Lonchura striata: one gene and its partners. The protein of the gene in region 2 interacts with the protein of the main gene of each other region in a pairwise test. Links are inferred from orthologs where the notes say so. Each region holds a gene or a part of one and is shown on either strand. Other genes may lie near its edges.

Region 1 (10,248 bases), on a different chromosome or scaffold from region 2:
GTAGAGCAGAGGCTAGGGAAACTCAACATTTCCAGGCTGTTCCACAGTTAAACTTCAGAGCCAAAAGCAAAGCAAAATCTCACACGTTTTCCAGGCACAGAAGAAGTGATTCTAACAGTACTTGCAGCTTTTATACTGCTATCACATCACTAAAGTTCCCATTCAATTAAAGTCTGCAATCTGGACATTCCCTTATGATCTGTTTCATTCAAAGATTCATTTCACATTTTGATCAACATCTAAAATGAGATTATACTACCATAAATTTGTTTTCTACTTCCTTTACCCCTCTTTTTCTTGCTTGCGATCGGCAGGCAGGACTTGAAAGTGAAGGTCTAAAATTAAATTCAGGATATTAGAAACTATTTTAAAATTGATTCAATAACAAAACAACACAAAAATAAACAAAAACAAGGCAAAAATACAAAACAAAACAAACTAACAACAAAAAAATTTACCTAAACTGAAACCATTTGTTTCTTCTTTTTTCTTTCCCTCACAAGCATTGGGAGGCAGCACTTAGTTCTAGCTAACAAAAAAAAAACAACCCTAAATTGTTTCCTGGAACCTCAGAATAGCTCAGATGTCTTAGTTACTACTTGGCAGAAAAAAATTATTAGCAGTGAAAACAAGTCCTCTGCATTTATTACTTAAGCAGTTGGGGAGAAGAGGCAGAGAGCTCATACCAAAGCACTGTGGTTCTCCCATTAGTCAGGGCTGCGTGTTGGTACAGGTTGGAACATCCTCCTTCGTGTTTTTGCACCTCTGCAGCTTAGCAAGTCTGAGCTCCAACTACAACCCCAGCCAGCTTATTAAGCAGGGGAGCATCTCAGTTATCGCTGTGGCAAACCACAGCACGCAGGCTGATTCTTCATGGTTCCAGAGAAAAATGCAGGTAGCAAAACCCCCTCCATGCTGATTTTAGAGAGTCTCCCAGATGCAGTGTGCCACCAGGAAAGGTCCTTTGGCTTTTGCCACTGTGCTGGAGTAAAGACAGTGCAACACGTGAGTTTACTGTTTCCCAATTAAATTAAGCATCTACTCTGCTTTCCGGAACAGTGGTATTGTGTCACGGGACTGTGCACGTGCTCCCACTGCCTCAATCACTTGTTTCTGAAAAACACATGTAAGAATTTATAGGAATTGTCTTCCAGCACTGAGATGAAACCAGACAAAGCTCAAATAATGATCAATATGAATCTTCTCTAAAGACATCATCACAACCATCAGGTCAAAGACGCCTCCAGTAACAGGACAGGGAAAATGATACCAGCACAATGAAAGACCAGCTGGCACATTCCCATAAAGGCAAAAGCAGCCCTCCTGTGGTTTTCATGAACAGCAGAAGATGAATCCTTTCAGATACAGTAATCCTGCAATCAGATACTCACAAGAACAACAAATAAATGCAAATCAAATCCAGGGCTTTAACAGATTATAGGGAATGCAAAGGAGAGTCAGTAGAACACACCAGATCCCAGCACGCAGAGCACAAAGACGTTTCACTGAAGATCCAGGTGAGCAAAAAGGGCACCAGTCCAAGCCCTGCTTCCTGAAACTAGCTTGTATCTAGAGGGCTAATTCTTACAAGGAAGCAGGCAGGCTCATGCCTCCTCTGCCTGCTACCACCCTGCACAGCCTCCAAGCTGGGATGAATCAAAGTCCTATCATCTTCCTCCAAGATGCCCTTATGCAAGTTTGGGAGGGTTCAGCTCACAACTTGGCTACAACAAACAATTTGAAGTTTCAGGAGGAAAAAAACCAACAGCTACAAACAAAAACAGAACAGATGGAGAAGCTGTCAGTGAGGAGAAGAAACTGATGTCCTTGTGAGTTTGCTTTGATAGGCAGCAGGAAGGACAGAGACAGAGAAAAAGATGAGAGAAGAGAAATAATGTCAAACTACCCAATTCAGCAGTAAAGCTTTTACCAGAAAAAAATGTCAAGTATTTCTGGGGAGTGGCTGCTTCATCTTCTTCTGAACTTGTCCTCGTCTGTTGTTCTCCCTCTCTAGCAGACACTGAAACGTACACTGAAAAAGACATCATGCTTCCCTATACCCATCTTTGGCTAAAGAAACTCTCCAGAAATCAAACAGCAAGAGTGGAAGACAGAAAGTGCAATTACTTTTGTCTTCTATTGGACAGCGCTGGATAGCACACACCCCACACAGGCAACCTGGGTGGGTGCTTTTTCCTGCAGAGCACACCCAACAAACAACTGGCACTGCTTAATCTGGCAGGCAGCCTCTCTGCAGGCTCACGGGGCCACCTTCGGCAGCAACAGATACTTTTCAGACTCGTTTAGTCCCTACAGGCTCCGCTGGCATCGCCAGGAAAACCCAAGCGTGCCAGCAGCAGGAACACTCCAGCAACAACCCAGCTTCACACAAAGACTGGCACTGAAGGGAACAGCTCTGCACACTCATTACAGCCCTCTGTCAGCTATTCCCTCTGCCCTTATATGGGAACATCCCGTGGCCCCGCTGGGAATATGATGCTGTTGGTGGACATGAAAGGTAAGGCAATACCTGAGCTGTCAGCAGGCGAGGGCAGAATTTTTCTGTTCTGAAAAGCAAGCAGAGTCTTGGAGCCTGAACTCTTTACAGCATTCACATGAGAGAAAGCAGAGATTAAAAGTGTCAACTGCTGACAGTCTGCACCCACCTTTCTCAAGGGTTATGCTGGTGATTTTAATCTTATTAAATATTGTTAATCGTATTACTAACCTAACTCTTTTCACGTGTTAGGAAGAAATTTAAAGAGAAAATTCCATATATGACTGCGCTATAGTAAATGCTTTCTGGCCAAATCTCAGTTCAGGGCAAGTCCCTGGCTTACAGATTCTGGCTCAGCTGTACACAGGTGTGGATGTGCATAGAAATAGTCTGCTCCGCACCAAACTACCTACAAGTCACCTTCTCTGCCAGATTCTTCTCAATCCATAACTTGTTTGCTCTCTTCTCCTGCGATTCTGCTAGGCATTGCTGGCCTCTCAAAGTGACCTTATTAAAACCTGTGAAATTCCATGCCCCATTTGTAGTAAGGGGAAACACCAATTTCCCCATTACAATGCAAAACATCTCAGTGCATCAGCTTCCCCTTGAATCAGGGGGAATGCTTCCATCACTGGCTTAGCTCCCCGATGTCACACAGACACATCATTAACATAAGTCATCGATTTCTGCATTTCATACACAAGGCAGAGCACTTCTGTGATCCCTGTTCAAAAAGTGAGGTCACAAATGAGCACATCACATTCAGCCTTGCACAGAATAGAGCACTTGTTTAAGTAAAATACTGACCCCGCTGTTTTACAACACGCAGGGTTGTAAGCCCCTTCCTCTTTGTAACTAGAGCAGCACTCCACATACTCTCCCAGGACTACTCCTGTTCCAGACTGCTCCCTGAGATAAAACAGCAGTCACAGAAAGTTTAGATTTAAAAAAATAAAGATCTCAAATTGCAACTCCTGGAACACAAAACACACCTGCTCAGAGGGGCCCAAACACTTGCTGCAAACTCTTTCGAAAGGAATGCGCTCAAGGTGGAAAACGAGCTCTCCGACCGGCAGGAATTACCCAGCAGTGCGCACCGAGGAGCGGGGCCGGGGCCGGGCAGCTCTTCCAGCGCGGCCGCACGGGCTGCCCGGCGCGGTGCCGCCTCCCGCCGAGCCGTCCCCGGCCGCGGGGGGCTCGCCCGGTCCCGCTGCTCCCCGCATCCCGGCACTGCCACCGCCGCCGGAGGGGCTCGCCAGCCCCGCCGCCCGCTCCTGCTGCCCCTCCGGGCGCGGAGCCGCGGGACCCCCGCCCTCCTCCCCGCAGAGCCCGCCGCGGGGGGCGGCCAGGAGCGGGGAGTTTCCCAGCCCACCGGAGCCCCCTCGCCCCGCCCGGGAGGCGCCGCCGCTCCGGAGGGGCCGCGCCCATCCCCCCACGCGGAGACAAAGCGCGGTCCCCGGGCGGCACCTGCCGCCGGCCGCTGACCCCCGGCAGCGCTTCCCCGCTCCAGGCCGGGCGCGGCGGCAGCAGCCGCCCACTCTCCCCTGCCCGCGGCCCCGGTGCCCGCCGCCCCTCACCTGCCGGGCGGCCGCCCCGCTCCGCTCCCGCCGCCGAGCGCTGCCCGCACCGAGCCGCGGAGCGCCCGCCCCGCCCGCTCCCCGCCGGCCGCCCCGCCCCCGCCGCGCTCCTCCAATAGCAGCCGCCCGCTCCGCCGAGGCCACGCCCCCAAGGCGGCCCCGCCCCGCAGGATCCGGCTGCCCCCTCCCGGCACGCGGCCGGCGGCGAGACCCCATTGGCTGGCGCAGGGAGGGGGCGTGGCCAGCGGCCGCTCCGCGCCCCGGGCCGTGCCCGGGATCCCCGCGCCGGGGCCGGCGGCGGCCGGGGGCTCCCGCTGCCGCCTCCCGCTGGGGATCCCGCCGGGGATCCCGCTGCCGGCTCCCGCCTGGGGCTCCTGCTCCCGGCTCCCGCCGGGGATCCCGCCGGGGATCCCGCTGCCGGCTCCCGCCTGGGGCTCCTGCTCCCGGCTCCCGCCGGGGATCCCGCCGGGGATCCCGCTGCCGGCTCCCGCTGCCGGTTCCCGCCGGGGCTCCCGCTGCCGGCTCCCGCCTGGGGCTCCTGCCCCCGGCTCCCGCCTGGGGCTCCTGCCCCCGGCTCCTGCCGCCGGCACCAAGCGAGGCACGGGCACCGACACTGCTCCGCACGCTGCCGCCACAACCAGCGGCGGCTGCCGGCCGGCCCGAGTGCACAGCGCTGCGCCAGAGGAGTCCGCGGCGCCGCGGATGAGAGCTGGGCATAAAGCTGCGTATTTTGGAAGAAATGGCAGCGTTTGTCTCGTCTCCGCGTTTGTAGCAATGTGACTTTGCAGTTAGGCTCTCAAGCCTTTGTGCTCGGCTCTCCCCAGCCGAGAGGTGCGGGTGAGCTGCAGCGGGCAGGGGCACAGGGAGCAGAACCTGACAGCAAACCTGACAGCAAACCTGACAGCAAACCCAGTTTGTCCCCCTACACACACAGCATCGGGAGGATGAGGCACAGCCCAGCTCCCGTTTGCAGCGCATGTGGGAACCAGCACATGAGCGAAATGGAAGAATGTGACAAAAGCATAGTTATCTCTAGTTGCAAAACAGCGAAGGACATACCATTCCAGCTGAAAGTCGGTGGAGACAAAAGCACCATAAAGCAGAAGCGCCTGAAGTGATATGTGTAATATAAACTGACTGCTGGTTTTGTGATTTTTATTCCTGTGAAGCTGGAAGCTCCAGTTATGGGCAGAGCAGAGGCTGGTGCTCTGTGTAAGAGACAAAGGCATTACTTACCGCTGAGAACTGACTGCATAAAATCCTCTCTCTGAATTAGGGGTAAGTTCTGTCAGTAACAGTTCTACAGAGGGACAGAATTAATGCTCCCATTTTTCTCACTCACACTGTAACTTCTGTGTTTCCCAGATGTGCTGTACTCTGCTGTGTTGTTGATCAGCGAATATACAGTTAGTCTAACAAATGACTTGCTATACATGCAGTGACTGCCTGTAAGTACTTGTCATTTGCCTGCTGAGCTGACTGCCAGATGTTTGGCAATCCCAGACAAAAGATGGAGTTATGCCTTAAGCACCCAGCCACAAATTTTGTGTGGATGAAAGAAAACATCTCTGAGGATGTGAAGAAGCGATTCAAGAGCTGTAGGTAAAAGGAAACTGAGGAAGAGTGCACTGGCCTGGGTTGTGCAAAGTACAGAATTTGCCTTATGCTGGGGTGCCCATCACTTCTCCTTTTTGGCTGTAGATGAAGCTACAAATCTCCATTGAAGACATAATGCTGCTCTGAAAGTCTGAATCGGTCTTTCCTCCCACGTTCATTTCTGACATTTCAGAGGGACGTAGTTGGTACAAATCCCACGTTCAGAAGTGTCATTAAACATCTACTGTCTTTGTTACAATACATCAGTCTCTCTTACTCCCAGCCCCCAAATTTTATGAAGGAAAAAATATGTCTGAAAGCTTAGAGATGCTGAACAATCCCCAGGATCTGGCAGCATGATCATGGTCTCCCAAAGAAAGGATTATTTCAGAGGCAACTACTGGCTGCCTCTCTGGACCTTTGCTCCTTGGCCCTTCAATATGCTGAAGAGTCCTTGGAGCATGCTGTATGCAGAGCCCATGAGGATTCCCCTGAGGAGATGATCCCTTACTTGTTCTTCCCCCAACACAGAAAAAGCCATCCTATTACCACACCCTGCTCACTGAAATGCTCTTTAGCTTAGAGCTCACTGAATTATCATCTCACCAATCAGACACAATTTAACTGCACTTAAAATGCATCTGCCAAAATCCAGTTTTGGTGACTAAGAGCATTAAAAAAAAAAAAAAATCTCCTAACTTTTCTTTGCTCCAACCCATTCCTGACTCAAAACACTAATCTGCTTTGTGCATTTTCTCCAGAGCCAGTCCCAACCTGCAGCCCCTTCTGTCTGGTAAAAAACATCTGCAAGCTTCACTTAAAAAACAGCAAAACCCCCTATGAGAGCACATTTGAAAGGAGAGGCTTTTCCTTCTGTCCCATGGCAGGGTTGGCAGGGAACTGGATATAGGGCCTGCCTTGGGAGCAGGGCAAGAAGAACTCCTGTGCACTTTAGGGATGTTACAGTGCCCCCCTCCCACCCCTCCTACAGCCCTTCTGAGAGACAAGGGTGTTGTAAAACCACTGTGGGATTAACCATTCCCCCTTCTGGGAAGAGTTTTTATCAGTCTGCACAAACATTTTGCAGTTCTTAAAAAAAAACCCCAAACAAACCAATCAAACCCTGGAGGAAAAGCTATTTCTCAAACATTATACAGCTGTGAAAATGGTGTCACACAAAGAACAAACATTTTGAGGAACAAGTGAAAAAATTTTTTCTTTCCATTTGTTCAGGTTTGTTTTGTTGTGTTGCTTTTAGTATATTTAAATCCCTAAAGGATCCTTTTCTGTAAAAACTCTTGTTAATGTCTGGTTCTAAGCAGGTTAGCTAAGTTTGTTTCATAACTATTACAATAATCACAAGGCAAGCAGCTGCTTATGCTCCTTTTGATTTCCTTCCTACTCTTCCTCCCCTCCAAGCAGGAGATGAGACAAGTTTAGAAAGTCACAAGGGATATGTGAATACTGTCTGTAGCTTCTGGGAATGAAGTGTATTTAGAGCAGTAATTCAGGGACCAGCTGAAGGTTAGCTACATCTACCCTACTTCATATCTGACCCCATTCCTTTCAAGCTTTCAGTTGTCAGAATATTTAGAAACAGCATTAAGGTATTTGTTATGGTGATTTGGGTACCTACAGATCTGCTGGCAGCAGCCTGTTGATATTTAAGGATCTGATTTTGAGTACAAAAAATAGCCAACACCCCAGAACCTGCAGGGATAGAGCAGGAGACTTTGAGCACACACATATTTGCATGGGTTTGCCTTCTCCCTGCAGAACACAGCAAAACAAGCTTGGGACGCTTGTGGCAATCCCTTTATCTTGGAGTTCTGCTGCTGTGTTTAAGCAGAGACCTTCTCAGATTATCCAATGCCAAGCACCAGAAATCTCACTTCTCTGTGCTTTATGAGTGAGGTCATGAATGTAACTTGCTAGCAAAAATCCAGCAATAAAATACAGTTCTAAATATAATGTGGACAAATCCAGCATTGTCTGCCTTTTCTTAGCTCACAAACCTCATTCCTACAGCAAATCTCAAACCTCTTCCTGAGGTAAACAGGACATCTCTACTACTCCTATGCTCCACAAAGAGGGAAGTATTTGTTTTTAGAGGGAATGTTGTAAAAGGAACTGTCTTTTCCAAACAAACAAAGAAATCAACAGGAGCACCTGCAACTTCCGACCAGGATCCTACAATGTTGGAACATTCAAACTGGAAGTATTAATAAATAAATATATATCCTGATTGTTACATTACATCTGCTTTTGTCCTGTCTTCTTAAGCAACATTTTCTAGTTCTCTCATGAGTGGAAGGAAGGGCAACTTTTCTCTTCAGAATGCACCTACTGTTAGAAGTCTGCAGTGACCTCATTCAAAGTTATTTCCATAGCCACAAGCTGTTTGCTTTTGAGTTACTGGTGGTTTCTCAAGGAGCAGTAAGAACCCAAAATAGCTTAGCACAGGCCAAGCTCAGGCCACTGCCACCCATTTTTCTATAGTTAATATCTATCAAAGGGCTTCCTGTTGCTCTTACCAGGTTCTCCCTAACTCAGCTTCTGTGTCTGGCCTGACAGAGGAACTAATCTGAATGAGCACTGGCTTCCTCTGACCTACCCACTGCACCCAGGTCAGTCCCTGGCCTCACCAGTCCTGTACATAATTTTGCAACCACCATCCCCCTCGGATGAGCACTGGGGCCCAGGGCTGGCTGAACCATCCTGCCTAGAGAGGTCTTTGCTCACAGAGTAAGAATTCAAGTCTCAAAAGGCCTTAGCAAGCAGAAATTACTAATTGAAGAAAAGATCTGCTGAGAGACCTCATTCCAAAAGGGAAACTCAGCTATCTATTATAAACCTTTTTAATAACCCAAAGGTATGCAACAGAAGAACAGAATGCAGGTTGGTGTGTGTGTTGGGGTTTTTTATTTGTTCTGTTTCTTAGTTTTTACTAGAATAGACCTGAAGAGCACAGGCATTCAGTTAGTCCTGGCTGAATCATCAGGAAACATGCACTGAGATGTCATGTGCTTGTGTAAATCTGCTATAAATGTACTTGAACTGAGGTGAGTGCCCAGGTAAATACCCCCTACACAGCTGTGCTGGTTTTGTTCAAACTCATGTATTTGCTGCCTGTGTTACCATGACAAAGATTTAGCACAAAGTACTAAACAGATTATACATCTAGTCCATGTTATAGCATCTTCCTGGATATTGCCTTCAGCCAGCTCAGGTACAGCTGCCACTGCTGCAGCCACACCTTCTGGCTTTGGGGTGCACATACACTGCAGTACCAAGCTACACATTTAGATCTTTGCCACAATGGAGTGATGATTAATCCAGGATTGAGGGAATACATAAATCTTGTCTCCTAATTATTATATAGTCACAGTTAATTACAAGGGTTTTTCCCTAATTGAAATTATTCTGCTGTCACTTCACATAGGAGGATTTAGCAAGGAAGAGCAGAACTAAGTGAGCCATGGTAATTACTTGTAACACAGAACTCAGCCAGCTGCACACAGGATCTGTTCCTGAGTCTTTGAAACTTCCTACAAATGACCAGTTATTTTCATCTTGATAGATATACCTTCCAGCTCTTCTCAAATTTCAGGTGTTATTTCAAACAATCATTTATTACAGATCTGTTTGCTACTCTTCATTGACTGTTCATAACAGTCCTTGACTGACTTTTTCTTCCTGTAACTATACATAGAGTTAAAGCTACAGACCTTCATAATACTCTCTTTAAATGGATAAAAGCAGATTTCTTTAGAGCAATAAACAGCCCTCAGTTTTGTATTCTCATTTATTGTACACAAGTTTAGCCTCAGACCTCTGCTTGTTTTTGATGCCATCAAGTACAATTCAGTGAGTGCTCCTTGACTTTCAAGTTTAACTGCCTAACCTTCAGCATTTAAAACCCGTGCTGATATATATAATCCACATTTTCAGTGATGTCAAATAAAAAAATCAGCCAGTTATAGTAAGGGGGGCCAAGTTTATGTAGTTAAATTGACAAAATATCCCAAATCCCAAGCCAGAACAAAATTTTCAGTGACTAGTGTGGCAAATTACAAATAGAACCATTGTACTAGTCCTTCCCCTTTAACTACACAGTTGTCTGATTTTCATCAAGCTCCTGAAAGAAATATAACCTGTAAAATATTTGTGACATGATAAAATGAAATATTATGGATTTGAAAAATTCTATTGATCTGTATGCACACTTCTTGATACAGATAAGTGTATAGGAATTTTTACCCCAGTTCTGAAGCCAGCAGATCAAACTGCTTCCCTGACAGATGTTTCTTACTCACTTCACACTCCAAATAATCAATGTATAAATCAGCAGTGGCACTTCCCAAAGCCACCTTTTGCTCTTTCATTTCTCTTACAGGTAGTGAATCATCAAAAATCATTCCTAACATTGTTTCTTTATTCTGTCATTAGCACCCAGTGATACTAAAAGTAGTTGGTGCCACATAGTCCCTGTCCCAAAGATCTTGCAGTCTTAGGAGCTTATAATCAAAACTTCAAACTCTCTTAGAACAGGAGAAAGTCCCACCCACAGCAGTGTGT
Region 2 (10,860 bases):
CCCGAGTGACGCTGAGTGCCGGAATTCCCGGAATTCCCGGAATTCCCGGGCAGTTCCCACCTGTGGATTCCGAGGCGTCCGAGGGCTGCCGGCCGTGGCCGGGGGATCTTCGCTCCGAGGGGGAATCGCCCAGGGCCGAGGAGAGGCCGCTCAGCCTGGGAATTCGGGAATTGGGGAATTCGGGAATTGGGGAACGCCGGACACGACCCCCGGTCACCCCCAGAGAGCCGGAGAGGAGCCCTGGCAGATCCCAAATCCCCCTGGCAGATCCCAAATCCACCCAGGATCAGATCCCAAATCCCCCCAGGATCAGATCCCAAATCCCCCCAGGATCAGATCCCAAATCCCCGCTGGGATCAGATCCCAAATTCCCCTGGCAGATCCCAAATCCCCCTGGGATCAGATCCCAAATTCCCCTGGCAGATCCCAAATCCCCCTGGGATCAGATCCCAAATCCCCCCTGGGATCAGATCCCAAATCCCCCCTGGGATCAGATCCCAAATTCCCCTGGCAGATCCCAAATTCCCCCTGGATCCCCCTTTTCTCCGGGATCAGCTCCCCCTAAGGAAAAAAATCCCTGGAAAAGCCCCTCAGGATTTTCCAGCCCCTTTTCCATGAGCAGCCGCAGAGCTGGGCCCTGCCCTGGACATTCCCGGCCAATCCGCAGGAAAATCGGGATTAACCCTCGGGATTATCCAGGGCCCAGCCCAGGTCAGCCCTTTTTATCCACCCAAAATCTCTTGTTTTTCCCAAAAATCCCCAAATTCCGGGATCCGCGGCATTCCCGAGACGCTTTTCCTTCAAAACCGCAATTCCAGGAATGCCCAAATCCCAGCCAGGGGATCCAAAGGGATCCAGAGGCTTCTCCTGCCCCTCTGGAAGCAGCCAGGGCTTAACGAGGCTATAAAAAAGTCATTTAATTCGGCTTAATTAAAGCTCCTTAATTGCCTCGGGGGCGGCCGAGCCAGGGCAATTCCCACAATTCCCATTCCAGCGGCACCTCCGGAAGGACCCAGCCCCGCTCTCCCTTCCCAAGTCCCAAAAATTCAAAATTCCCAAAAAACCGAAGCTTGGAATGGGAAAAAATTCCCTTTTCCCAACATTTCTGCCCACCGGGTTCCCTCCGGAGACAGGTTTGGAATCCCCAGCTGGAAAATCCCACGGAAACCTGGGATAAACCAGGGTTGAAAGCAGGAAAAAAGGGGGGAAATCCCATTTTCCGACTTTTCTGACCACGCCGTGGCTTTCCAAGGAAAAGCAGAATTCCAGGGGCAGCTGGGAGGACCTGGAGGGCTCTTCCCAGAAAATTCCCGAGTGTTTTTATCGGGAATGCTGCAGGACAAAGCCGCAATTCCCGGCTCTTCCCTCAACCCCAAACCCTGCCGTTCATTCCCGGGTTGTTTTTTGGGAATGTCCCCCAGGAAATCCGGGATCTCCGAGGAGCCGCCACCGAATTTCACGGGAACAAACCCGAATTCCCAAACCCCTTTCCCACACAACTTTGGCCTTCCATTCCCAAATTAACAAAAAACTCGGGATCTCAGGGAAAGTTTTTGCTTTCCCACATTCCGAGGGCGGCCGCCGAGTCCTGGGAGGAATTCCGGGAGTTTGGATCCCGCTGGAATTTCTCCTCGGATTTGCAACATTTGGTTCCCTCCCTGCCGGGGGCTGCGGCTCCGCTGCTCTCCCTGGAAAAACACCAGGAAAACCACGGAGAGACCGGAGAAACACGGGAATATTTTCCCATTTTTCCTGCTTTAAACCCGGGTTTATCCCTGGTTTCCATGGGATTTTCCAGCTGGGAATTCCAATCCTGCTGTGGGAAGAGATGGGAAGGAGGCCAGGGGTCAGAAATGTTGGGAAACGGGTTTTTTCCCCATTTTTCCCGCTTGAAACCCTGATTTATCCCAGATTTCCATGGGATTTTCCAGCTGGGAATCCCAAAGCCTTTTTTGGGAAGGGGATCCCAACGGAACGCCACCGTCCGGAGCGATCCCAAATGTTGGGAAAACGGGAGTTTTTCCCGTTTTGTTTTTCAGTTGGTCGGGGTTTTTTTTCGGGAATTCTCCACGGGAATTCTCCAGGAAGAATTCCCGGCGGGGTAATGATTAACGGAGCCGCTCCTGGGGAAGTGGGAAGTGGCAGAGCTGGTTGGGCCGGAATTCCGGCTCCTGGAATTCCCTGTCCCGGGGGGATCCTCTCCCCATTCCCGCAGAATTCGCAGCTGGGAGGATCCTGAAATCCCCGGGATGAGGCACTTCCAGGGATGGGGAATCCATGGAATAACCTGGGCAGGATCCAGGAATGGGCCCTGGAATCCCAAATGAACCAGCCCAGGGAATCCTGGAATTCTCTGGGCTGGGAAAAGCAGGAAAAATCCCCAGGATCTGGTGGGAAAACGATCCCTGAAATTCCCGGGATCTGCCTCTCTCCCAGGCCCCCAAATCCCTCATTTCCCACCCAAATCCACGTGGGAAATGCCGTGGCTGGAGCAAAGATCCCAATCCAAGAATTCTCGGCCAAATTCCTGAATTTATCCCAGAAAAAGCTCCAGGGTTTTCCAAGGGTTTATCCCACCAAAAAAAATCCCCAAATTTGGTGTAAAATGGAGCCAAACAAACTGGGAAAAAGCCAATCCCCGGTGGTGGATATTGGAAATATCCCAAAAATCAGGGAAGTTCGGGATATTCCCCCCCACTCCCCAAATCCGGGAGTTTTATCCCAAAACGCTGCTCCCCTGAGGGATTCATGGAAATACGGGATGGGCTGAGTCCCACCATTCCCAAAATCCTGGAATTTTATCCCAAATTCCCGTCTTTCCCCCTAAGGAATGGGGTGAGGGCTACAGGGCGAGCGGAGCCCCCTCCCAGAGCCTCAAAATCCCAGAATTTCACCCCAAAACACCCCAAATCCTGACATTTCACCCCAAATCCTGACATTTCACCCCGAATCCTGACATTTCACCCCAAATTCTGACATTTCACCCCAAAACACCACAGGGACCAAGTGCGGAGTCCCGGATGAGCTGAGCCCCCTCCTCTAAGCCCCCAAATCCCAGAATTTCACCCCAAAACACCCCAAATCCTGACATTTCACCCCGAATCCCAGGATTTCACCCCAAACCACCCCAAATCCCAGGATTTCACCCCAAATCCCGGCATTTCACCCCAAACTGCTGCTTTTCCCCGCAGGACCGCCCTGGCAGCTCTCGGAGCAGCGGAGCCTCCTCCCAGAGCCCCAAAATCCTAGGATTTCACCCCAAACCCCAGCGCCCGCTTCCAGAGCCCCCAAACCCCTGGATTTCACCCCAAAACCCCCGGATTTCACCCCAAACCCGCCGGATTTCACCCCAAACGCTGTTCCCGCTCCCAGAGCCCCAAAACCCCTGGATTTCACCCCAAAACCCCCGAATTTCCCCCCAAACCCCCCGGATTTCCCCCCAAACCCCGTTCCCACTCTCAGAGCCCCAAAACCCCCAGATTTCCCCCCAAACCCCTCACCCGCTCCCACAGCCCCAAATCCCCGGATTTCCCCCCAAACCCCCGGGTTCCCTCAAACCCCCAGATTTCCCCCCAAACCCCTCACCCGCTCCCACAGCCCCAAACCCCCGGGTTCCCCCCAAACCCCCGATTTCCCCCCAAGCCCCGGTTCCCCCGGATTTCCCCAAGCCCCGTTTCCCCGATTTCCCCCAAGCCCCGGGTTCCCCCGGATTTCCCCAAGCCCCGGTTCCCCGATTTCCCCCAAGCCCCGGTTCCCCCGGTTCCCCCCCAAGCCCCGGGTTCCCCCGGGTTTCCCCAAGACCCGGTTCCCCGATTTCCCCCCAAGCCCCGGGTTCCCCCGATTCGCCCCCAAGCCCTGGTTCCCCCGATTTGCCCCCAAACCCCGGGTTCCCCCGGGTTCCCCCCAAGCCCCGGTTCCCCGGGTTCCCCCGGGTTCCCCCAACCCCCCGGTTCCCCCGGATTTCCCCAAGCCCCGGTTCCCCGGGTTCCCCCGGGTTCCCCCAACCCCCCGGTTCCCCGGGTTCCCCCGGATTCCCCCCCAAGCCCCGGTTCCCCGGGTTCCCCCCAAGCCCCGGTTCCCCGAGTTCCCCCCAAACCCCGGGTTCCCCCCGGTTCCCCCGATTCCCCCCAAACCCCGGGTTCCCCCGGGTTTCCCCAACCCCCCGGTTCCCCGGGTTCCCCCGGATTCCCCCCCAAGCCCCGGTTCCCCGGGTTTCCCCAAGCCCCGGTTCCCCGGGTTCCCCCCGGCCGTACCTGTCCGGGGCCTGCGGAGGCCGCACGCTCATGGCGCGGCTCCCTCAGGGCCGGGCCCGGCGCCGCCGCCCCGGCCCCGCCACCATCCCCGGCCCGGCGGCCGCGGGGCCCGAGCGAGCCCCGGCCCGAGCGAGCCCCGGCCCGAGCGAGCCCCGGCCCGGAGCGCTCGGTGCCGGTCCGGGAGCGCTCGGTGCCGGTCCCGGGGCGCTCGGTGCCGGGCCCGGAGCGCTCGGTGCCGGTCCCGGAGCGCTCGGTGCTTGTCCCGGAGCGCTCGGTGCGGGTCCCGGAGCGCTCGGTGCTTGTCCCGGGGCGCTCGGTGCCGGTCCGGGAGCGCTCGGTGCCGGGCCCGGAGCGCTCGGTGCCGGTCCGGAGCGCTCGGTGCCGGGCCCGGAGCGCTCGGTACCGGTCCGGGAGCGCTCGGTACCGGCCCGGAGCGAGCCCCGGCCCGGAGCGCTCGGTACCGGCCCGGAGCGCTCGGTACCGGTCCGGGAGCGCTCGGTACCGGCCCGGCCCGGCCCGGCTCTGGGGCGCGGCCCCTCCCGGCGGGGGCCGGGCTGCGGAGAGCCCCGGGAGCAGCTCCAGCCCCGGGAGCAGCTCCAGCCCCGGGAGCAGCTCCAGCCCCGGCCCGGCAGCGCCAATCCCGGCCCGGGGCTGCTGCCAATCCCGGCCGGCCCGGCCCCCACGGCGCCGGGAGATCCAACCCCGGCCCGGAGCTCCAATCCCCGGGCTCGTTCAGCCCCGGGCAGCGCCAATCCCGGCCCCGGAGCTCCAATCCCCGGCCGGGGCAGCTCCAATCCCCGGCCCCGGAGCTCCAACCCCCGGGCTCGTTCAGCCCCGGAGCTCCAATCCCGGCCCGGGGCAGCTCCAATCCTGGCCCCGGAGCTCCAATCCCGGCCCGGGGCAGCTCCAATCCCCGGCCCGGAGCTCCAATCCCCGGGCTCGTTCAGCCCCGGGCAGCGCCAATCCCGGCCCCGGAGCTCCAATCCCGGTCCGGGAACTCCAATCCCCGGCCCCGGAGCTCCAATCCCGGTCCGGGAACTCCAATCCCCGGCCCCGGAGCTCCAATCCCCGGCCGGGGCAGCGCCAATCCCGGCCCGGGGCAGCTCCAACCCCGGCCGGGGCAGCTCCAATCCCCGGGCTCGTTCAGCCCCGGGCAGCTCCAATCCCCGGCCCGGGAGATCCAACCCCGGCCCTGGGGCAGCTCCAATCCCCGGGCTCGTTCAGCCCCGGAGCTCCAATCCCGGCCCGGGGCAGCTCCAACCCCGGCCGGGGCAGCTCCAACCCCGGCCCCGGAGCTCCAATCCCGGCCCGGGGCAGCTCCAACCCCGGCCGGGGCAGCTCCAACCCCGGCCCCGGAGCTCCAATCCCCAGCCCGGGGCAGCTCCAAACCCCGGCCCCGGAGATCCAACCCCGGCCCTGGGGCAGCTCCAACCCCGGCCCCGGAGCTCCAACCCCCGGGCTCGTTCAGCCCGCACAGCCCCGGGGCCGCTCCGATCCCGGCCCGGGGCAGCTCCAACCCCGGCCCGGGGCAGCTCCAACCCCGGCCACGGAGCTCCAAACCCCGGCCCCGGAGATCCAATCCCCGGCCCGGGAGATCCAACCCCGGCCCTGGGGCAGCTCCAACCCCGGCACCGGAGCTCCAATCCCGGCCCGGGGCAGCTCCAACCCCGGCCCTGGGGCAGCTCCAACCCCCGGGCTCGTTCAGCCCGCACAGCCCCGGGGCCGCTCTGATCCCCGGCCCGGCCCCGCCCGCGGGGACACAGAGAGACCTCGGGTGTGGGGGACACGGGGACAGGGAGGGGACACAGGGACAGTGTGGGTTTGGGGACAGGGAGGGTTTGGGGACACCCATGGGGACAGGGAGGGTTTGGGGACAGGGAAGGTTTGGGGACACCCATGGGGACAGGGAAGGTTTGGGGACAGGGAGGGTTTGGGGACACAGGGACAGGGAGGGTTTGGGGACAGGGAAGGTTTGGGGACACCCATGGGGACAGGGAGGGTTTGGGGACAGGGAGGGTTTGGGGACAGTGTGGGTGTGGGGACACCCATGGGGACACTGAGGGTTTGGGGACACCCATGGGGACAGGGAAGGTTTGGGGACAGGGAGGGTTTGGGGACAGGGAGGGTTTGGGGACACCCATGGGGACAGGGAAGGTTTGGGGACAGGGAAGGTTTGGGGACAGGGAGGGTTTGGGGATAGGGAGGGTTTGGGGACACCCATGGGGACAGGGAGGGTTTGGGGACAGGGAGGGTTTGGGGACAGGGAAGGTTTGGGGACAGGGAGGGTTTGGGGACAGGGAAGGTTTGGGGACAGGGAAGGTTTGGGGACACTGAGGATTTCGGGACACGGAAGATTTGGGGACATGGGGACAGCGTACATTTGGAGACACCAAAGATTTGGGGACACCCATGGGGACACTGAGGGTTTGGGGACAGGGAACATTTGGGGACATGGGGACAGCATAGATTTGGGGACAGTGAGGATTTGGGGACAGTGATGATTTGGGGACATCAAAGATTTGGGGACAGTGATGATTTGGGGACAGTGAGGATTTGGGGACAGTGATGATTTGGGGACATCAAAGATTTGGGGACAGTGATGATTTGGGGACAGTGAGGATTTGGGGACAGTGATGATTTGGGGACATCAAAGATTTGGGGACAGTGAGGATTTGGGGACACCCATGGGGACTGAGAACTTGGGGACATGGGGACATCAAAGATTTGGGGACACTGAGGGTTTGGGGACACTGAGGGTTTGGTGACACCCAAAAACCCCAAAGACAGAAGCAGCGGGAGCTGGGGAATTTCCGGGATCCCGGGAATCCCTTCCCAAAAATCCCAAACCCCGGGAGAAGCCCCAAAGAAAGCAGCGGCGCCTCTCTGTTAAAAGGTTTTTATTTAACGTTCTGAATTCGAGGTAAAATACTTTTATTTTTCGCTTTTTTTTTTCCTTTTTTCCGTGTTTTTTTTTTTTTTTTTTCAACTTCCATAACAAAATACGGAGCTATGGGATACCCCTGGAAAAAAATATGTATATTATCCATAAATTTCTCTAGCATTCCATCATATATATATATAATATATATATGCAACCCTTTCTTAAATCTGATTTTTATAGAAATCGGAATTTAATTTTAAAGGCACAAATTTCGGATTTTTTGTCTTTTTTTTTTTTTGTTTTGTTTTTTTTTTTTTTGCCCCTCTACTTTACACCCTATGTACAAAGCCACGCTCCCCGTCCCAAATTCCATCGATTTTCCCGAAGGATTCCTGCCGGATTCCCACCGGGGAGAGTTCAAATCCCTCGAAATCCCTCGAAAAAGGGGTTTTATCAACCCGAAAACAAAAGCGTAAATATCGGTTTAAAAAGCGCTAAAAAATCAAAGTATTTCCCGGAAAATCCAAAGTTTTTCCGGAGTTCTGATGATTTCAACCGAGAGAAAATTCCTGGGTTTTTCTTTTTAATCCCACCAGGATGCTGAGACGCAAAAAAAAAGAAAGAAACCAACGGAAAAACAGCTTAAAATAATAAAAAACCTCAACATAATTATGGAATAAATAAAAAAATCCGGGACAACCCCATTAATGCTGTTGGATTTTTCCTCCTTTTCCGGGGAAATTCCTCCCCAGAAATTCCCCCCGTTTGGGGCTGTCCCATCAAAAAGTCTTTTTTTTTTTTTTTAATTTTTTAATTTTTTAAACATTTTTCCTACGGATTTGCTACGAAAAAGAAGCAAAATTAACGAAAAAAAAAAAAAGAACTGCTGGAAAAAACGGGATCATGCTCCGGGGCAAATTCATCCGGGAGAGAATTCCAACCATTCCCAACTTCCCGAGGGTTTGTTTGTTGTTCAATGGTTTGGCACGGTGGAATTTTAGGAATTTTTCCTTGAAACTTCCGATTTTTTTCCACAAAATTTTGATCTGGTTGTTTTGGTTTTTTTCCTTTAAATCCGTTCGTTTTGTTTTGGTTTTTTTTTGACCTTTTCCTTCTCCTCTTCCTGCTTTTTTTTTCGTTGTTTTTCCTCCTCCCGGGCTCCGTTGGGAATTCTGGAATTCCCGAGAGGCGCCGGATCCGTCGTCCTGAGTCCGGAATTCCCTGAACTCTCCCAAGTTTTTTATTTTCATTTCCACTTTTCATCTTGGTTTTCTTTTTTCTTTTTTTTTTTTTGCAGTGCAATGGCTGTGACAGGAAACCCCGACATTCCCACCCTTCCCAAAAAACTCCCAATCCCAAAAAATCCTTTTCTAAAGCCACAAAAATTCCAACTTTTTTTTTTTTTTTTTTGTTCCTTCTCTTCCCGTGGGATTCCGATTCCAAAGGACTGGAGAGGAGGGGTGGGGAAAATCCGGGATTTTCCCCCCGTTTTTTGTTTTTGTTTCTCCCGACGGTTCCGGCGCTGGGATTTGGGATCGGCGGGAATTCCGGGCAAGGCCCCTCGTGTGATTCCTGAGTTCGTCCTGGCGCCTCTCCGGTCGCGTTTTTTGGGATCATCCAAGGCTTCTCCACCCCAACTGCACATTCCAAGGGTCCCACGCCCGGCCGGGCTGGGATCTGGGAATCGCTCCCGGGATCCCGGCGGGGAATTTCCTCCCCCAGCCCGGAATTCCCAAAATCCGAGCTCCGAGAGCGAATCCTGGGCAGCTCCCGGCGCTTCCCGAGGCTCGATCCCGCTGGGAGCCAAGCCGGAGCCTTCGGAATTCCGCTGCTGCGCGGGGGAACGGCGGCGTTTGGCATTTCCCCCCAAGAACCAGGAAGGATCCACGACATCCGAGCGCTCCCGGAAAAAATTCCCAGAAAAAGTCCAAACGTGGTTTGTTGGTTTTTGTTTTTTTTTTTCTTTAAGGCATGAGTCAAACGGGGAGAAAAATGGGGGGGAGGGTCCAAAAATCTGGGAATGGCGCCGGGAATTCCGGCGTTCCCGGGACTCACCACAATCATTCCAGCGCTCCTTCCAAGCATTCCCAAAAATTCCACCCACACGGATTCCGGAGCGGGAAAAAAATCCCCGCTCCGGGCACACAGAAACAAAAAAAACCAAACCCCAACATTTTTAATGCGTTAGGATTAAAGGCATCCGGTTAATTTTGTGTTATTCCCGTTCCCATTCCCTGAAAAAGTTTGGAGTTTTGCTCATGGCTTCTGCGAGAGAAAGAGAGAGAGAAAGAAAGGCGGGAAAAGGGGAATTTTCCCCGGAAATCCGCCGGGAACGACGCGGCCTCCATCCCGATTCTCCGAGAGTTTTCCTGAATCCTTTTCCCCCCCGCCCCAGCCCCGCTCCGTGGACAGTGCAAAATTCCCGATGCAAAATTCCCAAGCTCCTCCTTTTCCCAAAAAAAAAACCAAAAAAAAAACCAAAACAAAAAAAAAGAAGAACCAAACCAGCTCCTGGATGGCCGGGAAAACCTCTCATCCGTAAAAAAACCCCGAAAAATCCCAAAAAAATCCCCCCCCACCCTGTCCCCGGATCTGGAGATTCCCGGTGTCCCAAAAGGCCCGGGAGCGGCCCCGAGGCCGCGCCTGGAATTCCTCCGCGCCAGTCCTGGAGCTGGAGCCGGCTTTTCCCGGGAAAAGCGAGCGGGAATTGCGGCGTCTGCACCTGCAAGTCAACAACAGAAACAACACAAAGCCCGAAGCTTCCCGCACCCCCCTCCCTTCTCCCACCCCTGAAATTCCCTAAAAATTCCCAGGCCTGGCCCGCCCCCCTCCCCGCCCGGACCCCGAACTGCTCGGCAACCTTGCTACATAAATACACGGACGCCGCTCCGGCCGGCTCCGGCGCTCCGGCCGCCTTTAGGTGTCGGAGGCGGCGGCCACGGCTTTGGGCAGGTGCCAGATCCCGTTGGGCCGGGAATCCTCGGCCGCTTCCTGCCGGGAATCTCCGTTCCAGCGGCGCTTCAGCCGCAGCTTGGGCGGCATCAGGGCGTCCTCCCGGCGCTCCTGGCCGCCGGCCTCGCCGGGCCACTCCCGCGGCGCCTTCTCGGCGCTCTCCTCTCCGCACGCGCCGGGCTGAGCCGCGCCGGGCGCCCGCGCCGGGGCCGCCGGGCGGGCGAACACCGCCGCCTTCTCCTCCTCCTCCTCCTCCTCCTCCTTCCGCGGGACCTCCTCCTCGTCCTCCCTGTCGGGCGCCGCCGGCTCCACCTTGACGCGCGGCGGGCCGGCGGCCTCGGGGCTCTCCAGGCGCTCGCGGTTCTTGCGGCCGGCGGGCGGCGGCTGCAGCTTGATGGGGAACTGCGGCGGCTCCTCCAGCGGCACCGGGCACTGCAGCGGCGGCACCACCAGCGGGTAGCGGGGGAACGTCCGCGGGCTCAGGTGGTAGTTGAAGACGGAGCAGGCCTGCGAGTGCAGGTAGTGCTTCATCTCCTCGGGGTTGAAGGAGAAGCAGCTGCTGCCGGCGGCGGCGAAGGGGCTGAGCCCCGGCGAGGGGCTGTAGGAGAAGAGCGTGGGCGTCAGCGACAGCGCCGGCGAGATGGGCACGTTGAGCACGCCGGGGCGGCCCGGCAGCGGCGACGCGGCGAAGGGGCTGTGCGGGTGCTCGGGGAACACGCCGGGCCGCGGGAACAGCGGCAGCACCACCTCGGGCTTGCGCTTGGGCGCCGCGCC
Region 3 (10,367 bases), on a different chromosome or scaffold from region 2:
CTACTCATGCAGGGCAGTTTTCAGATGAAGATTGCACTGGAGTTTGGGTAGACAAATGTAACTGAGACATGCAGGGTAATTGAAAGTTCATTAGTCCATTTTCATGGTCTTATCTAACCAAAATCCATTGAGATGGATATCCCAGGCCTCAGTACAAATCTCATGATTTATGTATGCCAAAAGCTGCTTTCAAATACATTCATCCTTTTACCATCTCTCATGAGCAGCAAAATGTTCAGTATGTCTAGCAGGATGCCATGTATTTATCTTCCATGTTGCTCATGAGGAAAAGCAGCTTTAGCAAACCTACATGGGGTGACAGGCTGTGTTAAGGAACAGAAGTTTCCCGTTCATTACCCCATTCCATCTCCTCCCTTTGCCAGAAGCAGGTAAGATGTGATTTTTCTACCAATTTCATTGACATGAAAATAACCACTCCTAGAATCCGGGCTAATGAGCTAGAAATGTACAAGAACAAAAAAACTGCTCAACACCTTTAAGTGTGGACACTGAAATGCAGCTATTTGACATGCTGAGCTACAACAATGGCACATGATTTATTGATTAGTTGCCATTACATGAGGGAAGCTCCACTCATCATTTAAAATACACATATTATCTTGGAAATCTTCCTTTGAATAAAAAGGTAAAATACAGCTTCTGTCATAGTAGTCAATAGTTTAATTTTCCTTCTTAACTGAAGTGTCATTTGACGAATTCTGAAAGGTCTAAATATTTTTAAATTACAAATGCTTCTTTAATCTTGTTGTACCATCTTAAACTCCGATTATTTAAGCTGCATTCTAAACTACTGTAGTTCAGACACACTTCAGTACTATAAACATAAATTTTCTGCAATATACATTTGGAAGATACTAATCATGCAATATTTGAGGTTACGGATGTAAAAAGATGCATTATTTCCAGCACAGAAGAGGTAAATCTCATTTTCCACTTTTGGACAGAACACTGTAATCGTGAACTCTTATTTGTAATTGTCTTCCCATAGGCTACATCTCCGTGATAAAATTAGTTCAAATATTAGTAGATAATGATATTATTTTTATAAAAATAATTATTTTTTCTACAATATAAATATATATATAGAAGCATGCCTGGCAGATAGCTTATCCAAATTCTTTAACCAGTTGTGGAATTACCAATACCACCAAGTGTAAGTATGTTGGCTCTGGTTAAAATGAATGGCAGAGCAATGGTTTCAGTGTTTTGCTAGGCAGCAAAACAAAGTCGGACATGCTGGTTTGTCCGGTTTATATACATACAGATGTGTGTGTATGTGTGTTTGTGAAGGGCTTATTTAAACAACAAAAGAAGGGAATGAAATGGCAAGGCCTTTTCTATTTCTTATTTGTTGTTAATATTTTATATTAATTCTCATTTTACCTACTTTTGAAATACCAATAAACTTCCTGATGGAAAATCTTAAAAATTTTAATTATTATAAGTTTTTTTAAATTGAAATGTCTTCAAAAATTCAAGATCACTTTAAAAAATGCAAGCATTGCCTATATGAACCTCTTCATTAACCAAGGATCTCTTATCAGGCTCACACACAGCCAGGTGCAACCAGGGCAATGTCAGAACATCTAGTCTTGACTGCAAGGGCTGATACTTGTAATAGTTATGCATATGCATACAGCTACTGCACATATCCATATAAGGCTTTCTCTGGATTCCACCTGGAAATTGTATCCAGAGCACCTGCTGCTTTTTTATCTCATACCTTTGTGCAACAATTTATATCTATAAAAAGTATATGTAAAACTAAAAGAAAAATTTTGACGAGGTAGAATTTTGCACAGGAGTAAACAAATGTATCAAGTGAGTGTTGGTTAAGAAATACCAAAACCCACTTGCTCTGGGTGGATCAAATATTTTCTAGCATCAAAGGAAAAAAAAAACATGAAGGGAATTGCACAGTTAACCTTAGCTAATTTCACCCCTAAACATTTTTTTTTCTGGATTGTTGGAAAATGGACACTGAGAAATCCATCAAGCAAAGAATAACCCCAGATATTTACAAATTGATCTGCCATGTGAGCTTGGTGCAAAGGGCATGAAAATCAGGCTGTGCACAGTGACATTTCACAAATCTAATAATAACACCTTAGATTTATCTGGCATTTTTATACAGAAAAAGTAGATCCCATGGTGATTTATGGACTGTAAAAATATAAATATGTATATTTGGGTTTTTTCAGTCACTAGGAGAAGATGCAATGCCCTCTCCAAACCAGAGACATCAAATGGAGAGTGAAAAATCCTTACAGATGCTCTGTTTATATCTTTGCCATGAGACTAAACCCATTCAGGTAGTATCCTAGTTCTTGTGGTTTTTTGCTTTCCCATTATTGATAAAAATTTCTTACAAAGGATGGTGGCAGCAGGAGTGCTAGGGCAGGCTGAATCTCAATGGTTGCCCAGTACAGCTGATGAATTGCTGCTTAATGAAGAATATTTTTTTCCCCCTTTCTTCCCCCTCACCCGTCAGAAGAGAGTTGAGACATGGGACATCCCCAAGCAGGATGTAATTTCCGTGCAATTTTGAAAATTGCACAGAAAGTGCAATTTCCAAAACTTTAGAAAGGATTTTATGTTCTTTTTTAGCTGTTTTGGTTGCTCCCAGGTTATCTCCATGACCACAGGGCAACAGCCTTCCTTCCTAAAGACTGATAATCAATCATCTGACTCTTTATCTGCCCATCAGCCCCTCATAAAAATGTCAGAACACATTGGCTAGCTGCAAACAAATGAATAAAAGAGGTAGGAACCTCAAAGATAATTAAGTTCCTAGGGATTTGTGAGCATCAGCGACTAGAGGCTCAAATTAGTGTTCCAGCAGGGAGAGGTGAAGGCGGAGCGGGGCCGCTCGGGGCGGTGCTCGGCAGCAGCCGCGGCCCGGCGCGGCGCGGCGCGGGCAGCACGCGGCGCTCCGGACCGCAGAGAGGAGCGCTTCACCTCGGACACGGAACACAAACGGGAGACCAGCCCATCGCAGCGGGTGGGTCAGCGACGAGACCACAGGAAACCTGGCTTCATTAGCTCTGTTGATCATGGAACAAGGTGTTTTTTAATGATAGCAGCTGAAAATTCCGCTCTTTTCCACAGGCCTTGAAGGTCTCAGCAGTAGGAACGATTCCATCTATGGCTGCATCTTGGAAAAGATTCAGAACCGACGGCACAAAGAAGAGAAGCAGGCAGGGAAGAGGCACAGGTGTCACCTTCAGTGCAAAAGAAAATAACATGCAGAAAAAAAAAAAAGAAAAAAATCATGAGGATACACGTAACAACAAATGGGTGATAACAAAGAAAGGAGAGACAGACGGGATGCAGAAGAAGGAAATAAAGAGGAAATTGAAATCTAGACTAGAGTTCTATTCAAACACAGCTCTGTCATCTGTGTCCTGAAGCTGGAGAGGGAGGGAACAAAGCATTCTGCCCTGAGTCACACCCTGTGCATGTGCATGACTGCAGTGAAGATCCCCAGGAGTCTGGGAAGCTGTTAATCATTCAGTCCTTTACTTGTTGCCCTTCTCTAAGCATCTCCGCATTTAGGATTTGATGTGACCTCTTTTCTTCTTTTTCTTTTTTGTTGGATAATGCTAAGGGAGGGAATCAATCTTTCAGTCACAAATAGCAGGTTTTGATGTGCAGCTGTTTATCTAGGTTCACTGGAGAATATCTCCCTGTATCCCTTCTCCATGGGTCAGAAGGATGGTGTGCTGGTTGCAAGAAAAGGAAGTGCAGAAGACCATCTTTGCAAGTGGACCAAGTGCTGAATTCAGCATGGACTTCACTAACCATAGTGCTGTGGTGCACATTTTTGTCCCAGCTGGCAGAAGTGCAAGTCAATATGCCACACTGCTGCTTAGGACATCCAAATGTGCCTGGCAGAACAGCAGCTTATGGAGGGTTAGCAAAGAAGATGGCTATCCTGGGGTGGGATGCTGTGTGGCCACCTCAAGATCTAGATCAGTTTCATAATCCCGGTCACACTTGCAAGGTCAGGTGCACAGCAAGGGATTGTTAGGAGCTGCCCTTCCTTTGAATTAAAAAAAAAAAATAAAAATTGTCAGGAGGCCAGAGCAACAGGAGCTGAACAGGAGCAGGAGGAAACTATTCTGGCGAGAAGATGTGTTGTGAGCTGGGAGGGGGGCAAGGCTTAGATTTAACTTGGCTACAGTCACCTTGAGACAGCAAAAGTGTGGCAAGTACAGTCCTGGTCAGTGGTCATCAGATGGAGCAGATGTGGGGTTTTCCCCAGAGTAGGGAAAGCAGATCATTAGGTTTGGAGCAGGCAGGGTAGGGGGAGGAGTGACAGAGACCCCAGCAAAAGGCCCTGGGGCAGAGCATGATGGAAGGCAGAGATTCACTGCCCTGGGCACAAAGAGAGCTGCCAGGCTGGTAATTCCAGGGCATTCTGCCAAAACTTAGGGTACAATCTGGCCAGAAGCCCAGATGTTGTGAAAGCAGCCTGGAAAGTCAGGTGTTACCAAGCCCATTAGCAGCCTGTGAGTTTCTCCTTACTGGATTCCTCACAAGAATTGCAGGACATGACTAATTCACTTTTCCTAGGGAAGTCCCATCTCCCTCTTCAGATTCCCTCTCTCCTTTCCAGTAAGTGAAGAGGTACAGAAGGGGAATCCAGACCTTCTGAAACACTAGACCTGTTCTTTCTTATCTTGCAGTGACTAAGCCCAGTCAGGTGAAGAGCAGGAAGGAAGCCAATAAAAAAGGACAAGGGCCTTCTGGTGGAGGTTAGCACAATAACTGGGCCAGACTGGCAAAATTCACCCAGCACAGCCTGCCTCCCCTGTGCAAGCCCAAAGGGAAAACCCCACAAAATTCTATGGCATGTTTGAATAGTCCCAACCCACTGTTAAGTCTGCAGTGGCACTTTGCACAGACAGGGTCTGAAAGCCACTTTTAACATCTCTTCCAAAAGTGCAACTATTCTTGCCCAGGGTTTTGGAGCTGTTTTTTATTTATTTTGTATCTCTTGCTGTTTTGAGATGCAAAGGTAACTTTTCAGCAACTTCCTGTTTGGGAAGCACGGCGTATAGACCGGCTGTCTCCTGGTGTTTTAGTAGGGAGCACAACGCACACAGCATTTAATGAAGCTGCACTCAAAGTGCCAAGAGCAGTAAATTCATTTCTCCTTGAAACATTGCTGGTCCACATTTCACTGATGGAAAGTTACAAAGTATAAACATCCTGACCAAAGCTTACCTGAGCCATTCTTCTAAGACATCCCTCCTTTCAATAGATTGTCTCTACATTAGCTATAGTTGAGACAAATTTAACATCTGAACGTGCAGATGATGATGCTATAGCACAGTGATGCTGCGTTCACAACAGGTGGGAAGTGAGCTCTGCAGTAACTGTTGATCTGTTTCTGGGGGAAGGCATGAAAACTTTGCACACAGGCTTTTTAGTAGAGTGCTTGAGCAGAGAGAGAACGTGCAGAAATTGTTTTTGCAGAGGATTTACCTATAGGGATAAACCCTAGAGTACTTCGAGTTCAGTAAAAGTGATGCCAGTGACATATTCTGGGCCCCTCATCGATAAGGGTGTACAAGAAGGGAGGAAGCCACTGGGTGCTCAGAGACTCTGCTCGGGGGATAAGGGATGGGAATTACAATGTGCCTTCGTGTTCAGGAGCGTCCCCAGAACACCACCGGGATCCGACAGGTCCCGCAAGGCTGTTAGGTACAGAGCAGCAGGCAGCCCCTTTCCCAGCGGTACCGCCGTCCCGCCGGAGAGCGCCGCGGAGGCCGAGCGCCGACCCCGGCCGCGGGCAGAGGCTGCCCAGAGGCAGTTCCCGGCCGTCCCGCCGCTCCCCGCTGTTCACCCCGAGGGCCCCCGGGCGGCCGGGGCTCGGTGCCCCCGGCGCTGGAGCTGCAGCTCCCGGCCTGGCCCCGGTCCCCCGTTGGGGCTCGGAGCCCCCCCGGTTCTCCGGGAGCATTCGGCCCCGCTTCGCCGAGCTGGCCTCTGCCTGGCTGGCGGGCAAAACAAAGCGGAGACAGGGAAAGGAAAACGGGGAGAAAGTGCGGCTCCTGCCGCCTCCCAGCCTTCTGCCTGGATCTCCCTGCATGAGACAGCGCTGCAAGCGGATCCTGACCGGGGGCAGGGGGTGGAGAGAGGAGAAGGAGGAGGACGGACAGAGGGAGGGAGGGAGAAAGAGAGGGAGGGAGGGAGAAAGGGAGGGAGGGAAGGAGGGACGAACGGGAGCCTCTCTCCTTCCCTGGGCTGTTTTTTTCAGTTTCCTGTCTCGCATTGTGCTCACAGCGGATATGTGCTGCGCCTACAGGTGTGTCCCCTCCTCGCAGCTTTTCCCCGGCTCCCAAGCGTAGGCTCTGGCTGTCGGGGCGCGGCGGCGGATCGTGACCGCCGTGTGATGATTATTTCTCTCGGGGCGGTTTCTCTCTCCTCTCGCTCTCTGCTTCCCCCTCCCTCGCTCCCCGCCGCTCTCGTCCTTCCTCTCGGAGGTGGCCGCAGCCGCTGCCGCCTTCGCGCTGACTCCGGCCGCGGTGGCGGCGGCGGCGGGGCCCGCCGGGAGCATGGGCGGCCGCCGGGGGCTGCCGTAGCGCCTCTGTCCAGCCCACCGCCGCCCGCCGGGGGCTGCCGGGGCCGCGGCTGCCGCTCGGGCAGCTCGGACGGTCCGCGCCCGCGGCTGCCTCCCGCCGGCGCCTGCACCTGTTGAAGGTAACGCAGCCCCAGCCCTGCCGCCGCGCCGCGGGATGGGGCGGGGAGGGGGGGAGGCGGATTCCACGGAGACTTCCCTCTGTCTCCCCCAGCTCGGGAGCTGCTGAGTTGTGGCTAGAGCAGCTTCTCTCCTCCTCGGCTGCGGGGCCAGGGCCGGGGATAAGCTGAGAGCTGGGGCGGATGGGGCTTTCTACCGCGCTGCCCGCGACCAGATGGTTTTGGTTAAAGGGGCTCCCGGGCGGCGGCTCTGGACTCGGAGCGCCTTTCTCAGCCGCCGTGCAGGGCGGGGAGGTGGGGGAGGCGCGGGGAATCTGCTCCTCCCGGCCGGCAGCCGGGGAGCGCCGGTGTCCGGCGAGCTCCCTCCGCCCCACTCGATGGAGCCTGGCTGCTCTTCCCGGGAGTTTCGCAACCCCGAAGCGGCCGGGGTCAGCAGCCCCGATGTCGCGGCTGGCACTGGCCCGGCGCCCACCCCGCGCTCCGCCTGGGCGCTGCCGACTCGGGAACTCGTTTGGGATTTTCCTGCAAACGCATTTTGTCTCTTCGCAGAGGCAGCTTTAAACTTTCTTTCCAAACTGTTAATTAGATACACTGTACTTTGCTCATGTTCCGTGGAGGCGAATGGGAGTGCGAGGCTGGAAAGGCTTGTGACTCAAGGCATAGTTATTCGGGAGGTGCAGAACATCTTTGCGTGCTGCGTTCAGATGGGCTGTACCTGTAATTTGTGACTTTGCCTTCTCCGAGATTTCGTCGGTCTTGGTGACATCGGGAGGCAGAAGGGATAGTTAACACTTTGGGTCCTTTCGAGGTTAATCAGACACTCGGTTGAATATACAAAGGAGGAAGTGTATCTTTATCTCCTCTCTGATGGAAAATAATATTGCTTTTCTCTATGAGTAACAACACTATGGTCCTGTCTTTATTGCTGAGCTCGTCATCAAATGATAACTTGCTCGTAAAGGAACTTACGCTTTTGGAATGAAGGCTGTTACCTTGAATGTGATGATGAGCTTATTGAACACCAGAGGGAACTCTGAATAGGTAATTCATTCGAGGGAGATATATGCTTATTTTACTGTTTATGTTCTCATTACAATGGAATCTAGGAGGAAGTAAAGGTTGGTAAGTAATGAGCTGCTGGTATGTACCTAGGATTGACTTCAGTTTTCTTAACAGTTCTTTTCAGAAGACATCGATTCTAAATCTGGCCTGAAAAAAAATCTTCTTTTTTTCTTTCTTTCTTCCTTTCTTTTTTTTTTTTTTTTTTTTTTTTTCCCTCCAAAGCTTAAAATGTGCAACTGGTCTTGCAACAACTATGTACCATGCTATATGCAAATCAGCTGGGAGACCTGTTCACTATTTGCTAGGGAGTGAGATTATACATGCATGTTGGGCTGATGCTTAATGCCCTGCCTGCCTCTCAGGTTGTGAGACAGATCCAACACACCTGGGTACAGGGGCTGCTGCCTACAGTCGATATACAAGAATAGAATATGCTTCCAGCCAAAACAAAAGGGAGGAAGGAAGGAAGTCTACTTCCAAGTAGCCTGTCTTGTCCTCCTTACCTAGAACACTTGTGGATCTAAAGCCTAGTCTGATTGCCTGTGAAGTAGAAAATAGTCTTTCTTAAAAGATATGACTTTAACAAATACAGAAATGAAATGGTGTCAGTGTTTAGGAAAGGAGTTTGAATGGTGGCTTCTGGTACCAAAAGCTGTTTAAATCATTTGAGATTATTGTAAGAAGCTATGGTCAACCTATCAAAATGTGTTTTGTAGTAACATGAACCCCAAAAATTTGCAATTGGCTATTGAGACTTTGGATGCTTGTGATAGTCTGTTACAACAATGTTGATAAACAGTCTTCTTTGATACTCCTGAATTGTCAAAGACATGGGAAGGATAGCACAATGAATACACTTTTGACTCTGACATTTGCTCCAGAAGCTGATGCATTCAGCTGTTCATCCTGTCCCTTTGCCAGAGGTTAGTCGGCCATTCAGGGTTATTTTCTATTTAACTTTGAATCTGAGTTTACAGACAGGCATATGAATGTCAACTATATTTTATGGCTATTCATATTAGTGTTGTGAAGTCTGATAACACAAATCTCCTGTATATCTCTCTGTTGTGACAGAGGGACAAAGCAAACACTTGAGGTCAGTTGAATTGAGCTGCAGTTGTGAAGCATAGTCCATAGGCATCTAAATTCTTCTGAAATAGCAGGTGTGAGCCCAGTGACCTTCCTTGTACCAGACCTTGGTGGGCAGTGGTAGTGGGGAGGCAGCTCTGCATAAGGAGAGGCTGTGTGACCTCCGTTGGTTGGTGAGCAGCACACAAGGTTCTGGGTTTCAGAAGGATGTAGTAGATGGTGTACCTGAACAGCCCTCTCTTCCTCTCCTTCTTCCAGTCTAGCAATCAGAAAGTGATCCAAGTTTTTTTGTTGATTTATCAAAGTCTTTCTTTGTTTATCTGACTTGAGGACTTGTTATGTAAAATATCCTCACTAAGGGCATGGCATTACTCTGCCTGAATTTTCTACAGATGATATTGGAAGTTGGATAAAGGCTTTGTATGGCTTTATAAAACTCGGAGTTGTTTGCTTTGCATGCAGATGATCACTAAGGACAAATTACATTTTGAAGGGAGACCTCTTCATAAATGCCTGTTAAGAAAAAAATTGTTGCAAATGGGTTTGGATGCTGGCTCAGTTTTGAGAAAAATATTTGCACGTTTATTTATTTATTTTTATGAAGATGTAATACTAAGCATTTATATTTTTGTAATGGCTATAATTTGGAAATTTTCATATAGTTTTAAATTATTTATTGTATGAAGCACTGAATGAAGATATTTGTTGCACTGGTGTCACATTCAGAATATTGAATTACAATTGTAAAATTAAGGTAACAAGCTGAAATTGGGGTTTGCAACTTCAAGCTCTTGCCAGCAAGCAGTTAATGGCAACATTAACTGCTAGAAAAGTAATTGCTACCGTTCTTTTACTGTCATTTTGTTCTCACTCTCCTCCAGTCAGCCTGTTCCACAGAGATATCATGAATATTCACTGAAATATCTTGGCATTGTCACTTATGCAATTTCTCATCAGATCCAATGTGTTGATGAGCTAATGTGCACTTGATTAAATGTACTTGATTTATGCAAACAAAAACTCTAGGTCCTTCTTGAAGTAAAGTTAGCACCTGTGCAGCTATTAGTGAGATGAGAGTCTAAATAATTATGATGAAATTAAGTAAACAAACAACCTCGATATGGTATCCCTCCTACTCCTCCACTTTTACTTTTTTGTTCAACTCAGTAGTGGATATTTATTTTGGCTTTTCTTGCAGGTTTTCTTATGCACCATAGGAAATTTTTAAGCTCAGCTTATCATGGAGGGTCTATTTAAGTGGCTTAACAGTGCAAAAAGGTCTCTGTCTATAAAACTGATAAGACTGATTTTTATAAAACTATAAAAATCTGGCTACAAAAAGAGGCCTGGAGTCCTTGCCCTCTGCTGCTCTGGAGGCAGCAGAGGACGGCTGGAGGAGGGAGAGGACACATGCTTGCCCAAGCCCTGGTGCAGCCAGCCTGACTGGAAAGCTGTTCAGGGGATCTTGTGGACTTGGGGCTTACTTTCTTTAG

Evidence for each region.
Region 1: the proteins of rho guanine nucleotide exchange factor 11-like (region 2) and PLXNB1 interact in a two-hybrid assay, tested with the Homo sapiens proteins (2 studies listed by BioGRID). The link is inferred for Lonchura striata from reciprocal best matches to the Homo sapiens genes ARHGEF11 and PLXNB1.
Region 3: the proteins of rho guanine nucleotide exchange factor 11-like (region 2) and PLXNB2 interact in a two-hybrid assay, tested with the Homo sapiens proteins (2 studies listed by BioGRID). The link is inferred for Lonchura striata from reciprocal best matches to the Homo sapiens genes ARHGEF11 and PLXNB2.

Annotation. Positions count from the first base shown.
Region 1 is NC_134614.1:15,162,992-15,173,239, reverse strand, and holds the start of PLXNB1 (plexin-B1), read right to left. Parts: upstream 4,159-10,248; 5' UTR 4,075-4,158; intron 1-4,074. UniProt on the Homo sapiens protein: Receptor for SEMA4D. Plays a role in GABAergic synapse development. Mediates SEMA4A- and SEMA4D-dependent inhibitory synapse development. Plays a role in RHOA activation and subsequent changes of the actin cytoskeleton.
Region 2 is NC_134635.1:3,775,324-3,786,183, reverse strand, and holds the start of rho guanine nucleotide exchange factor 11-like, read right to left. Parts: upstream 4,323-10,860; 5' UTR 4,286-4,322; coding exon 4,254-4,285; intron 156-4,253; coding exon 61-155; intron 1-60. Other genes in the region: ETS translocation variant 3, read right to left, coding at 10,051-10,860. UniProt on the Homo sapiens protein: May play a role in the regulation of RhoA GTPase by guanine nucleotide-binding alpha-12 (GNA12) and alpha-13 (GNA13). Acts as guanine nucleotide exchange factor (GEF) for RhoA GTPase and may act as GTPase-activating protein (GAP) for GNA12 and GNA13.
Region 3 is NC_134607.1:30,342,258-30,352,624, reverse strand, and holds the start of PLXNB2 (plexin-B2), read left to right. Parts: upstream 1-6,209; 5' UTR 6,210-6,331; intron 6,332-6,642; exon of another isoform or gene 6,643-6,726; intron 6,727-10,367.